Linked DNA regions of Drosophila melanogaster. The gene in region 2 interacts genetically with the main gene of each other region. Each region holds a gene or a part of one and is shown on either strand. Other genes may lie near its edges. The genes, in order: Zdhhc8 and Ras64B.

Evidence for each region.
Region 1: of Ras64B (region 2) and Zdhhc8, changing one enhances a phenotype caused by changing the other (phenotypic enhancement), as found in Drosophila melanogaster (one study listed by BioGRID).

The regions. Positions count from the first base shown.
Region 1 is NC_004354.4:9,353,026-9,358,311, forward strand, and holds the start of Zdhhc8 (zinc finger DHHC-type containing 8), read right to left. Parts: upstream 3,203-5,286; 5' UTR 3,090-3,202; exon of another isoform or gene 2,962-3,089; intron 2,154-2,961; 5' UTR 1,529-2,153; coding exon 1,437-1,528; intron 1-1,436. Other genes in the region: BCL7-like, read left to right, coding at 3,895-4,240, 4,538-4,656. UniProt on the Drosophila melanogaster protein: Palmitoyltransferase that catalyzes the addition of palmitate onto various protein substrates and therefore functions in several unrelated biological processes. Regulates tissue growth possibly by regulating Ras64B protein stability.
Region 2 is NT_037436.4:4,137,350-4,141,898, reverse strand, and holds Ras64B (Ras oncogene at 64B), read right to left. Parts: upstream 2,824-4,549; 5' UTR 2,721-2,823; coding exon 2,640-2,720; intron 1,993-2,639; coding exon 1,905-1,992; intron 1,849-1,904; coding exon 1,439-1,848; 3' UTR 501-1,438; downstream 1-500. Other genes in the region: Akh (adipokinetic hormone), read right to left, coding at 6-176, 245-313; Rop (Ras opposite), read left to right, coding at 3,085-4,549. UniProt on the Drosophila melanogaster protein: May be involved in endocytic processes and/or other transport pathways mediated by vesicle trafficking. May interact functionally with ROP protein. Ras proteins bind GDP/GTP and possess intrinsic GTPase activity.

The DNA.
Region 1 (5,286 bases), on a different chromosome or scaffold from region 2:
AGGTGATGTTGGAAAAACGGTTTGCAATTTGATGAAAAACGGGGAAAATGCCAAGCGCTGCAATTGCAACTGCAATTGACCACAAGAACTCGTCATTAGGAAAAGCTTGAAGCGGGCAAACTAGGGAAAACCTATGGAAAACTGTGTGCTTAAATGGGGAAAAACTGTCTGCGGACAGTGGGGAGGCATTCGGGGGTCTCAAACAGACTGCTTAATTGCTATTTTGGTTTCGTTTCATGTGCTAATTGTGCACATGCTATGCAAATTTGTTGCTCCCTTGGCCTTCTAGTTGTCTCAAAAAAAAAAAAAAAAAAAAACAAGCAAAAAATGTTTATACCATGCGGAGGTTTCACGATTTTAATAATAATGTTATTATATAAATAATGCAGTAATATAATGTGCTCAGATAAAACCGCAAATTAATTACGAAAACAGCAAATCTTATCATGTTTTTTTTGTTTTTTGGAAAAGCTGCATTAGCTCCATGAAATATATTTTTGAAATATGAAATATTGAACATATGCTAGTTTTTCATCTAATTACCGTGACATATGTATTCCTGGCATAGACGGAAAATCTGCCAGACCCTCGAGCCACGTGCATCATCATCATATTTTTTTTTCATCCATTTTTCCCCCGGCATTTTGAAAACTGAAATTCTTTTTACGACCAAAATACACGAAAACAATTTGCGCAAAAAAAAAAACCAGCAAAATGCAAAAAGGAGCGAAAAAACCGCACAGAGCAAACTGCAAATTGAGTGCCAAGTGTGGGGGGGCGGGGGCGGTGTGAGGTGGAGATGCCGGCGGTGGGGCAGTAAAATGGCCACTGAGAGATGACTAAGACAAGGAAAATTAGGGGGGGGGGGGGCGGTGTGGTAAATGGGGCCAGACTGGATAACAACAAAGCTGCTGTCCCACATATAATAATGCATTACGGCTCGTCGTTATAATCCACGAAAATGCGAGCAAAATAAATAAAGTGCCAGCAACAAAACTGCAAGCTACTAAGAAAATAATGTGGGTGGGGCCAATGGTGGGTGGTGGGTGGAAAGCTGAGTGGGTGGCTGGGCTGGTTTTCTATGGTTTTGGCTGGCAGACGAAGGCCGAAGGGTCGTCTTTGATTACGCCGCTCCACGAGGGTGGGGGGGGGGGGGGGGGTCTAGAGAGAGGAAAGTACGCGTGTGTGGCAACAGTGAATACCGCCTAAGGCACATTCAATATTCATGAACTTCTCGCGAAGCCACCGCAAACTAACCATATATATTTAGTGATATATAGCACCCACTCGCAGATTGCACTACTTTTGTGACAATGGAAATGAAATTCAGTCGAAAGAAACTCAAAGGTATTTGGTCATTTTTTTAAGGTTTCTGAACTAAACTGTTGAATGTTATATTAACTTATAATTATTTTATCATTAAAATGGCTACTTACGGATAGAAGAAGAAGAGAAATGTGGTCAGAAGCAGCACAATCCAGGCGAAAGTCGCAGGAATGTAGCGCGTTTTCACATCGCATTTGGGCATTTTCCTATTTTCCTATTTGTTGGTTGTTGTTTCAGTTGTTGTTGTTGCTAGTGCAGTCTCTCAGTATTGCTGATTTGTTGTTGTTGCTGTTGGCCAATGTTGTTGCAGTGTCGTTGACCGTTTTTTTCTTCTTGGCAATGAAATGCGTTTTGTTTTTGTTGCTGCTGTCGCTGATGAGGTTGCCGTTTTGGTTGCAGTTGCAGTTGTTGTGCTTGCTGCTGTTGTTGTTGTTGCTGCTGCCGCTTGATGACGTTTCTTGACTTGGCTTTCTCTCAATCTATCTATCTCACTCGCTCTCTCTCTCTGTGTGTTTGTTGTTTTATTTCGTATCTTTTATATTTTGTTTAAGGATGATTTTATTTTTTTTTTTGGTTGGGGGGGGGGGGTACTTTTGGTAGGAGGGTCGGGTGGCGGGGTCGGGCGAGGGGCAGAGAGAGAGGGGGCGGGAAACAAGCGAGACGGCGAGACGAAGCGGCGACGCGTGAAACGGGATCGACGACGTCGACGGCGGCAGAGACAGCGACGCCGGCAGCGCGGCTTTCAGATTCGCGGGAAACGGAAAATCGGGAAAACTCGGGGAAAATTCAGCTTCGACTTTTCAAAGTTCTGGCTTTTGAAGCGGCTGCTGTTTTGGGGAAATTGCAGAAATAAATTTATAAATGAAACTGATTAGGTACACTCAAGAAAAATATTTCACTTAACTTTCACTTGAAAAAAAAATCACAATTTCAAATGACACATTACACTCGCATTTCATACATTCGCTATCAATTCGTATTATATTTACTGCTGAGTCCCAAGAATCTCACTTAAAAAAATGAATACTTATGATTGAATAAAATAAAATGTTTAGTGCTAATTAGCATATTGCTGCACATTTAAGTAAAATGTTTAACTTATCAAATGACAACATAGAATGAAATAAAATATCACACTAACATAGATTCCTCTAACTTAAATTCCGAAATGTTGAACTAATTTATATCGCTCGTTCCCCTTGTTTACTTTTGTTTAAATTCCTGCCATTTGAGTTGTTTACTTTATTTTAAATTTCTATAATTTATTCCAATTTGTTTGCGTTTCTCTCTCTCTCTCTTTTTCTCTTTCGGGCGAGGAGCGATTCTAGCCTTGCGTTTGCATTGGTGTTAGTATCGGTGTTAGCTTACGCACACATTTCTAATATCAATTATCCAGGGGGAAAATTTAAGAAAAAAATAAGATCGCTGGCTTTCTCCTGATTTTCGTACAACTATTTTCAATTTCGTGTGCGTTTGTCGTTTTGCCTTTTTCGTCTTTCCCCACTTTTCTTCGTTCTCTTTTCCACCGCTGCTTCTTCTTCTTCTCTTCCTCGTCCTCCTATCACCCTCTTGCTCGTTCGCCTGGCTCTTCACATATACCAGCAGACACACACATTCACGCACGCACACACATACATTCGCACACGCACGTTGTTGCTGCAACGTTTTTTTTGTTTTTTATTTCGGCGTCGCCTGCATTTTCATCTTAATTATCGCTCTCGCTCGCACGCACTGCGAGTTTCAATTCGCGTAAATAACTTCACTTTTCCCGGCTTTGTGCGACTTTTCATTCCATTCTAATGGGCGGCGAACGTTCGGTTCGCATTACGAAAAAATAAATAAAAAATAAGCGGAGCGTACGCATAATTTCGTCGGTCGGTGGAAAAACATCGAAAAACCATCGAGCCATCGAAGTGACATCGTAGCATTGTGATATCGATATGTTGTCGATGATAAAGAATCGACAAATCGATACTCATCGCGCATCGATATTTCGCCCATCACTCTCACGATGGTACACGAAAATATACTAGATTATACCATTTGGCAACATTGGCGTTGCCAGATAATAGAAACCGTTGGACTAACAGTTCAAAATTATTATTTAAAAATTTAACGGTTGTAGCTGTTCAAAAACAAACGGCTAATAATTTAGCTCAGCTCAAAAATTAAGCACTTGAGTTACAAATCATACACGAATTAATAAGCTATCACACTTTAGCACGGACCTTTAGCCAATGGTCACACTGCAGCCCGTGAAAACAACGGGCAATCATTCGATAACATCAGTTGAAAATCACGCTTGCTATCGATTACTTATTTTTGTTGTATTAAAAAATATTTTTGCGAATTGCCAAAAAAACTGAACTATCCACTGGTTAACTGGTCGAGACCAGCCAAAATCACGAGACACGATCCCACTTAAAAGCCAGACGGGGAGAGTTCAGTTGTGAAGCAGCCAGAAGTAGCGAAAACACTTAGCGGCTTTTCGTGTGACGCCGACTTTGGCTAAGGAGGAAAAGCGATTAAAGCAGGAAGAGCCAGACCAGGCGCCATCGACCCACAGACATGTCGCGCAGCGTGCGGGCGGAGACGCGCAGCCGGGCGAAGGATGACATCAAGCGGGTGATGCAGGCGGTGGACAAGGTGCGCCACTGGGAGAAGAAGTGGGTGACCATCAGCGACACCACCATGAAAATCTACAAATGGGTGCCCATCGCCTCCGCCAGTGAGAAGAAGGCCAAGCTGGAGTCCTCGCCGGGATCGGCTGCTGTCCGGAGACCGCCCCCCGGCTCGGGCGTTACGCCGGTCGGCGGCAGCAAGAGCGATAAGGAGAACTCTCAGAAGGGCACGCCCACGCCGCCGCAGATCACGCCCAGCTACCAGGGACTAACCGCCGAGGACTCTAACACCTGTAAGGATGGCTATGTGCTGGTTCTCTTTAAATAAGTAGTTGGGTTCTATGTCTGCAAGCACTGCGTTAGGAGCCAAAACAAAAAAACAGGATGCAGTATATGGATTTTAGGACCTTTACGAGGTGCCATTAGTCTCATAAGCTTGCGGAGCTGCTATAAAAATTGCTGTCTTTGCATTAGCGATATTGTTTACATTTGGTTTTTGGCTTCAAAGCGTATTTCCTATTCAGCACAATTTATCACTCCAAAGCACATGTTTACTCTGTCTTATTCATGCGATCTCTATCTGTACACAGGTTTCTCCGTCGTGTCCGACAGCCAGGGCGCCGACTTCGTGTCGAGTATGCCCTTCTCTGAGGACTCGAACTCGCAGGGCAGCGATGGACCCGTGAAGCGATTGAAGACGAGCGACTAGCCAAACATTCGCAGGCACAGCGTCTACAGCAGCAGCAGCAACTAACTAAGAGCCCTAGTTAAGTTAGGTTAGCACCGACAGCACCGGACGACGAGAGAGTATCTGCCTCAGCCCAAGACTTAAGCACTTCCCTTACACTAGCAGTTTCTTTACGGCTGTCAGACTGTCCCGCCATAAGCCTCATTTATTTGTCATCAAAGCGGGGGTAGCTGATGGTCGATAGGTCATAGGTCCATAGCATTAAGATCAAATGTGACAACTTATTTATTAGAAAGACATGCGAATCGATTTGAGTACGAACGTAGAATGGATATGTAATTTTGTAATAGCTGCTTAAGATACAAAACAGCCAGTCTGAATGTTGTAAACCGTGTAAAGTTTTTTGACTTTCGATTTCTAGACGTTTTGACAACAACTAGTTTATAACTTAGCGTACTAACATAAAGGCTACTTTTTTTTGTTCACTATAAAACTGGCTTGAAAACAATTGATGTACTCGTTCATAAGTTGATTTTCCTTGTAAATTTCGCTTGTAAACGCTTTTCTACGCATTCAGTGAATGCAACAGACTTGAAATCGAAGCGTTTACAAGCTAAAGCTTATAGTTTGTTAACGAATTGATCAAAGCAA
Region 2 (4,549 bases):
GCTATCTACTCGCGGTGCTTGCAGTCCAGAAAGAGCTGTGCCTGAGATTGCACGAAGCGGAAGATCTCGAGCAGCATTTCGTTGGAGGTCTTGCAGTTGCCCTGCTGTGTCTCGAAAAAGGTTCCAGGACCAGCTCCGCCCACCGAACGCTTGCCCCAATCCGGCGAGAAGGTCAACTATATAGAGGAAAATAAAATGAGACATCAGAAAGGGATATCCTGCAGCGGGATATGAATTCACTCACTTGACACTGGACGCAGGCCAGCAGCATGAAGAGCACGGCTGCAATGAGGACTTCGCTCTTGGGATTCATTCTGAGTTCTATGCTGGTCCACTTCGATTCAGCCCGCTTTTATACCCATTGAGCTCGAAGGGAAGACAGCTGGTAAGTAATTAACACAGCACTAGCAAGGATTCTTTCTATAATTGCTTGGATTGGGTCGGAATTTTCAATTCCAGTCGAGAGCGTCATTGAAACAATCTTCTATGTGGAAGCGTTTGTGATTCTCCATGTGTTTATTAGAATTGCGCATATGTTTAATTTTAAATTTAATTATATATTTATTTATATACCATTAAATAAGTTCGTTAAATTAAGCAGTGTATAAGAGTTAAAACAAGATTGCGGCTAAAGCAACTGTTGCAATACATTTGGCGAACAATAAACCATAGGATCCGGATCCGACTGGGGACATGTACAAAAGTATCGTTAAGTGAGTTGTGCGCGCCTGGCAGCTGCGGGTATAGTACAAAAATGCCGTGGGTGTAATACAGAGTTTGATGTTTTAGATTTCTACGCGCGAGAACGAGGCACTCAATTTGTTACAACAAAATCGGTTTGTAAGCAGTTAATATATGTATACGTATATATTAGTAGTAAATAACAATACAAATTACAATAACACATTATTACGTTTTGGCTTAATCGAAACAAACGTTCTGGGCTTAGTTATTGCATTATAAAAACAAATGGCCTGCGAGCCACGATTGGTAATAATCATGAAAACATTCGTCCTTAATTGTTGTCGTTGATCAACAAAATAATATTACAAAAATATATGTAGAAATATATATGTATATATAAGTTATTCGTGTGAATCTGTTGTATATATCTACCTATGTTTCGTGTTTCTGTTTGCATTTTGCATTGTTAGTTGTCAGTTGTAAGATTCTTCGTAGCTATTTGAGAGTGGCGAAGTTTATTCGATTCGTTCGTTGAATGCGCCATGCACCTGGGCAGGTAAGAAATGCACTTCGTTTGGGCTCGTTGACACGTTTTGTGCGGTTACTGGTTTCGGGTTACTGGTTTATCGTCTTCTCAACGGAATTCAAAGCTCAGTCGACGCGTGTTTTTCAAAAAATTTGGTGTTATAATCATTATATGTTGGCTCCTGCTTCCGCTGCGGCATTCAGGAGATTCTCTTCCATTTAGTTCCTTCTACATCAGGCAGCACTTCCTCTTGCCCTTCTTCTTGTAATCCTGCTCGATGAAGGGACGCTCGGCGATCTGGAACTTGCGCACGATCCTCACGAGCTCGTGGAAGGCCTGATCGACGTTGACCCTCAGTTTGGCACTGCACTCGATGTAGGGGATCATCAGGTTGCGGCTGGTGTTCTGCGCCTCCTCCAGGGACACCTGCTGCTGGTGCTTCAGGTCGCACTTGTTACCCACCATCAGCATGGGGAACTCGTCGCGATCCTTGACGCGCAGTATCTGGCGCTGGAACTTGGGGATCTCATCGAAGCTGGAATGATCGTTGAGCGCGAAGACGAGCAGGAATCCCTCGCCGGAGCGCATGTACTGCTCCCGCATGGCACTGAACTCCTCCTGGCCAGCCGTGTCCAAAACTAGGTAAAATATCAGGTTATTATGAATCTGGTAAGGGTAAAGAAAGGAAGCTTACTGTCCAATTTGGCTGGCACATCGTCGATGTTGCACTGCTTCGTGTACGAGTCTTCAATGGTGGGATCGTAGTCCGTGACGAAGTAGCTCTGCAAGATTAGGATTAAAATTATTGTACCGCCAGCTGCCGAGGCCACAAAACTACATATATAAACATTATAAGACTGGGTTTTTTATGTGGGCGGGGTGCGTTTATCATTCCGCCTTTGATTTGTTTACACACGTCACTTTTATCATTCACTATCCACTATGCTCTATATATCTTGGGGAAAAGCTACAGCATATACACGAAAGATGTGCAGATGACGCAAATGACTAAAAATAAATGGAAGCGGGCGGTCATTGTGGTCGTGACCATGGCACAAACTCTCGGGGAATCGATCGGCACACCCAGAAAACTGGGGGCTGCGTCTAACGCAACTCCCTGGTTCTGGGCTCTGACCACTTGATCCCCAATTGGAGATACACACGGGGGTGTGGCCACCGCGATGATGATGCTGCCAATGATGATGATGATGATGATTGTGTTGGTGATGATCTCGGCCCGAAACTATGCACACGCATGTCCAAACACAGACGCACATCACAGTCGCTTGTTGCTTGTTTGTTGCTCTGGCCAAAACAAGGGCCGTCCCCCTGCCACCGCCCCTGTGCGCCATCGCCCCCCACTCCCACATTCAAACGCCCCTGTGGAAAGCGACGTCACCAGGGATTGGGCCGATGCTGGGCGGCTTACCTGGATGAACTGTATCGTTATCGCTGACTTGCCCACGCCGCCGCCGCCGACGACCACCAGTTTGTACGTTTGCATCTGCATTTCCCCGTTTAAATCGACCAGTTGGCCAGCAAAATTATTTTATTTTCCTTCCTCGACAGCAGCAGCGTGACCGTTCTCGGTTAACTGAGAAATCCACACTCGCACTGAGACGGGTGCGCGTCTCTGCTAGACAGTAATATCGATATCAACTATCGCTAGCCAGCAATCGACTTTCGCCCATCACTAAGGCTAAGTCATCAAACGAAAAAAATACAGAAAAATTGGCCAAGGAATAGATAAAATTCTTTAAGTCAAGTTAGCCCACGCGAAAAAGCGAACGGAATAAGCTAAAAAGACATATTTACACGCAGTGTGTTCATAATCGAGTTGCCTTTGCGCCCGTGACCAATAAAACGCAGTGAAAATGGCCTTGAAAGTGCTGGTGGGCCAAAAGCTGATGAACGAGGTGGTGAAGTACAAGCCTCCACCACCCAAAAAGCAGGGCGTTACGTCCGCTGCGGGGGCGGGCGGCATGGAATGGCGGGTGCTGGTGGTGGACAAGCTGGGTATGCGCATGGTGTCCGCCTGCACCAAGATGCACGAAATCAGCGCCGAGGGCATCACCCTGGTTGAGGACATCAACAAGAAGCGCGAGCCGCTGCCCACGATGGACGCGATCTATCTGATTACGCCGTCGGATGAGTCAGTGCGCGGTCTGATACGAGACTTCGAGAACCCAGCGCGGCCCATGTATCGCTATGCCCATGTCTTCTTCACCGAAGTTTGTCCCGAGGAGCTATTCAACGATCTGTGCAAGTCGTGCGCGGCCGGAAAGATCAAGACGCTGAAGGAGATCAACATTGCATTTTTGCCATACGAATGCCAGGTGTTCTCGCTGGACTCGCCGGACACATTCCAATGCCTCTACTCGCCGGCCTTTGCCTCCATTCGGAGCAAGCACATCGAGCGAATTGCCGAGCAAATAGCCACACTGTGCGCTACCCTTGGGGAGTACCCAAATGTGCGCTACCGCAGCGACTGGGACAGGAACATCGATTTGGCCGCGTCGGTGCAGCAGAAGCTGGACGCCTACAAGGCCGACGATGCCACCATGGGCGAGGGCCCCGAGAAGGCACGATCCCAGCTGCTGATCCTGGATCGCGGCTTCGACTGCGTGTCGCCGCTGCTGCACGAGCTCACCCTGCAGGCCATGGCCTACGATTTGCTACCCATCGTCAATGACGTGTATCGCTACACGCCCGGCCCCAACCAGCCGGATAAGGAGGTGCTGCTCGACGAGAACGACGACTTGTGGGTGGAGCTGCGTCACGAGCATATCGCTGTGGTCTCCACCCAGGTGACTCAGAACCTTAAGAAATTCACCGACTCTAAGCGCATGGGCTCGGCTGACAAGTCGTCGATGCGCGATCTCTCGCAGATGATCAAGAAGATGCCGCAGTACCAGAAGGAGCTGTCCAAGTACTCCACCCACTTGCATTTGGCCGAGGACTGCATGAAGTCGTACCAGAACTACGTGGACAAGCTGTGCCGCGTGGAACAGGATCTGGCCATGGGCACGGACGCCGAGGGCGAAAAGATCAAGGATCATATGCGCAACATTGTGCCCATCTTGCTGGACGCCAATGTCTCGAACTACGACAAGGTTCGCATCATTGCCCTGTACGTCATGATCAAGAACGGAATTTCCGAGGAGAACCTGACCAAGCTGTTTACGCATGCCCAGCTGTCGCCGAAGGATCAGGATATGGTGCGTAACCTTAGTTGCTTGGGCATCAATGTCATTGCAGATTCGCGCAAGAAGCAGTACTCGGTGCCGCGCAAGGAGCGCACCACAGAAAGCACCTACCAGATGTCCCGCTGGACACCGG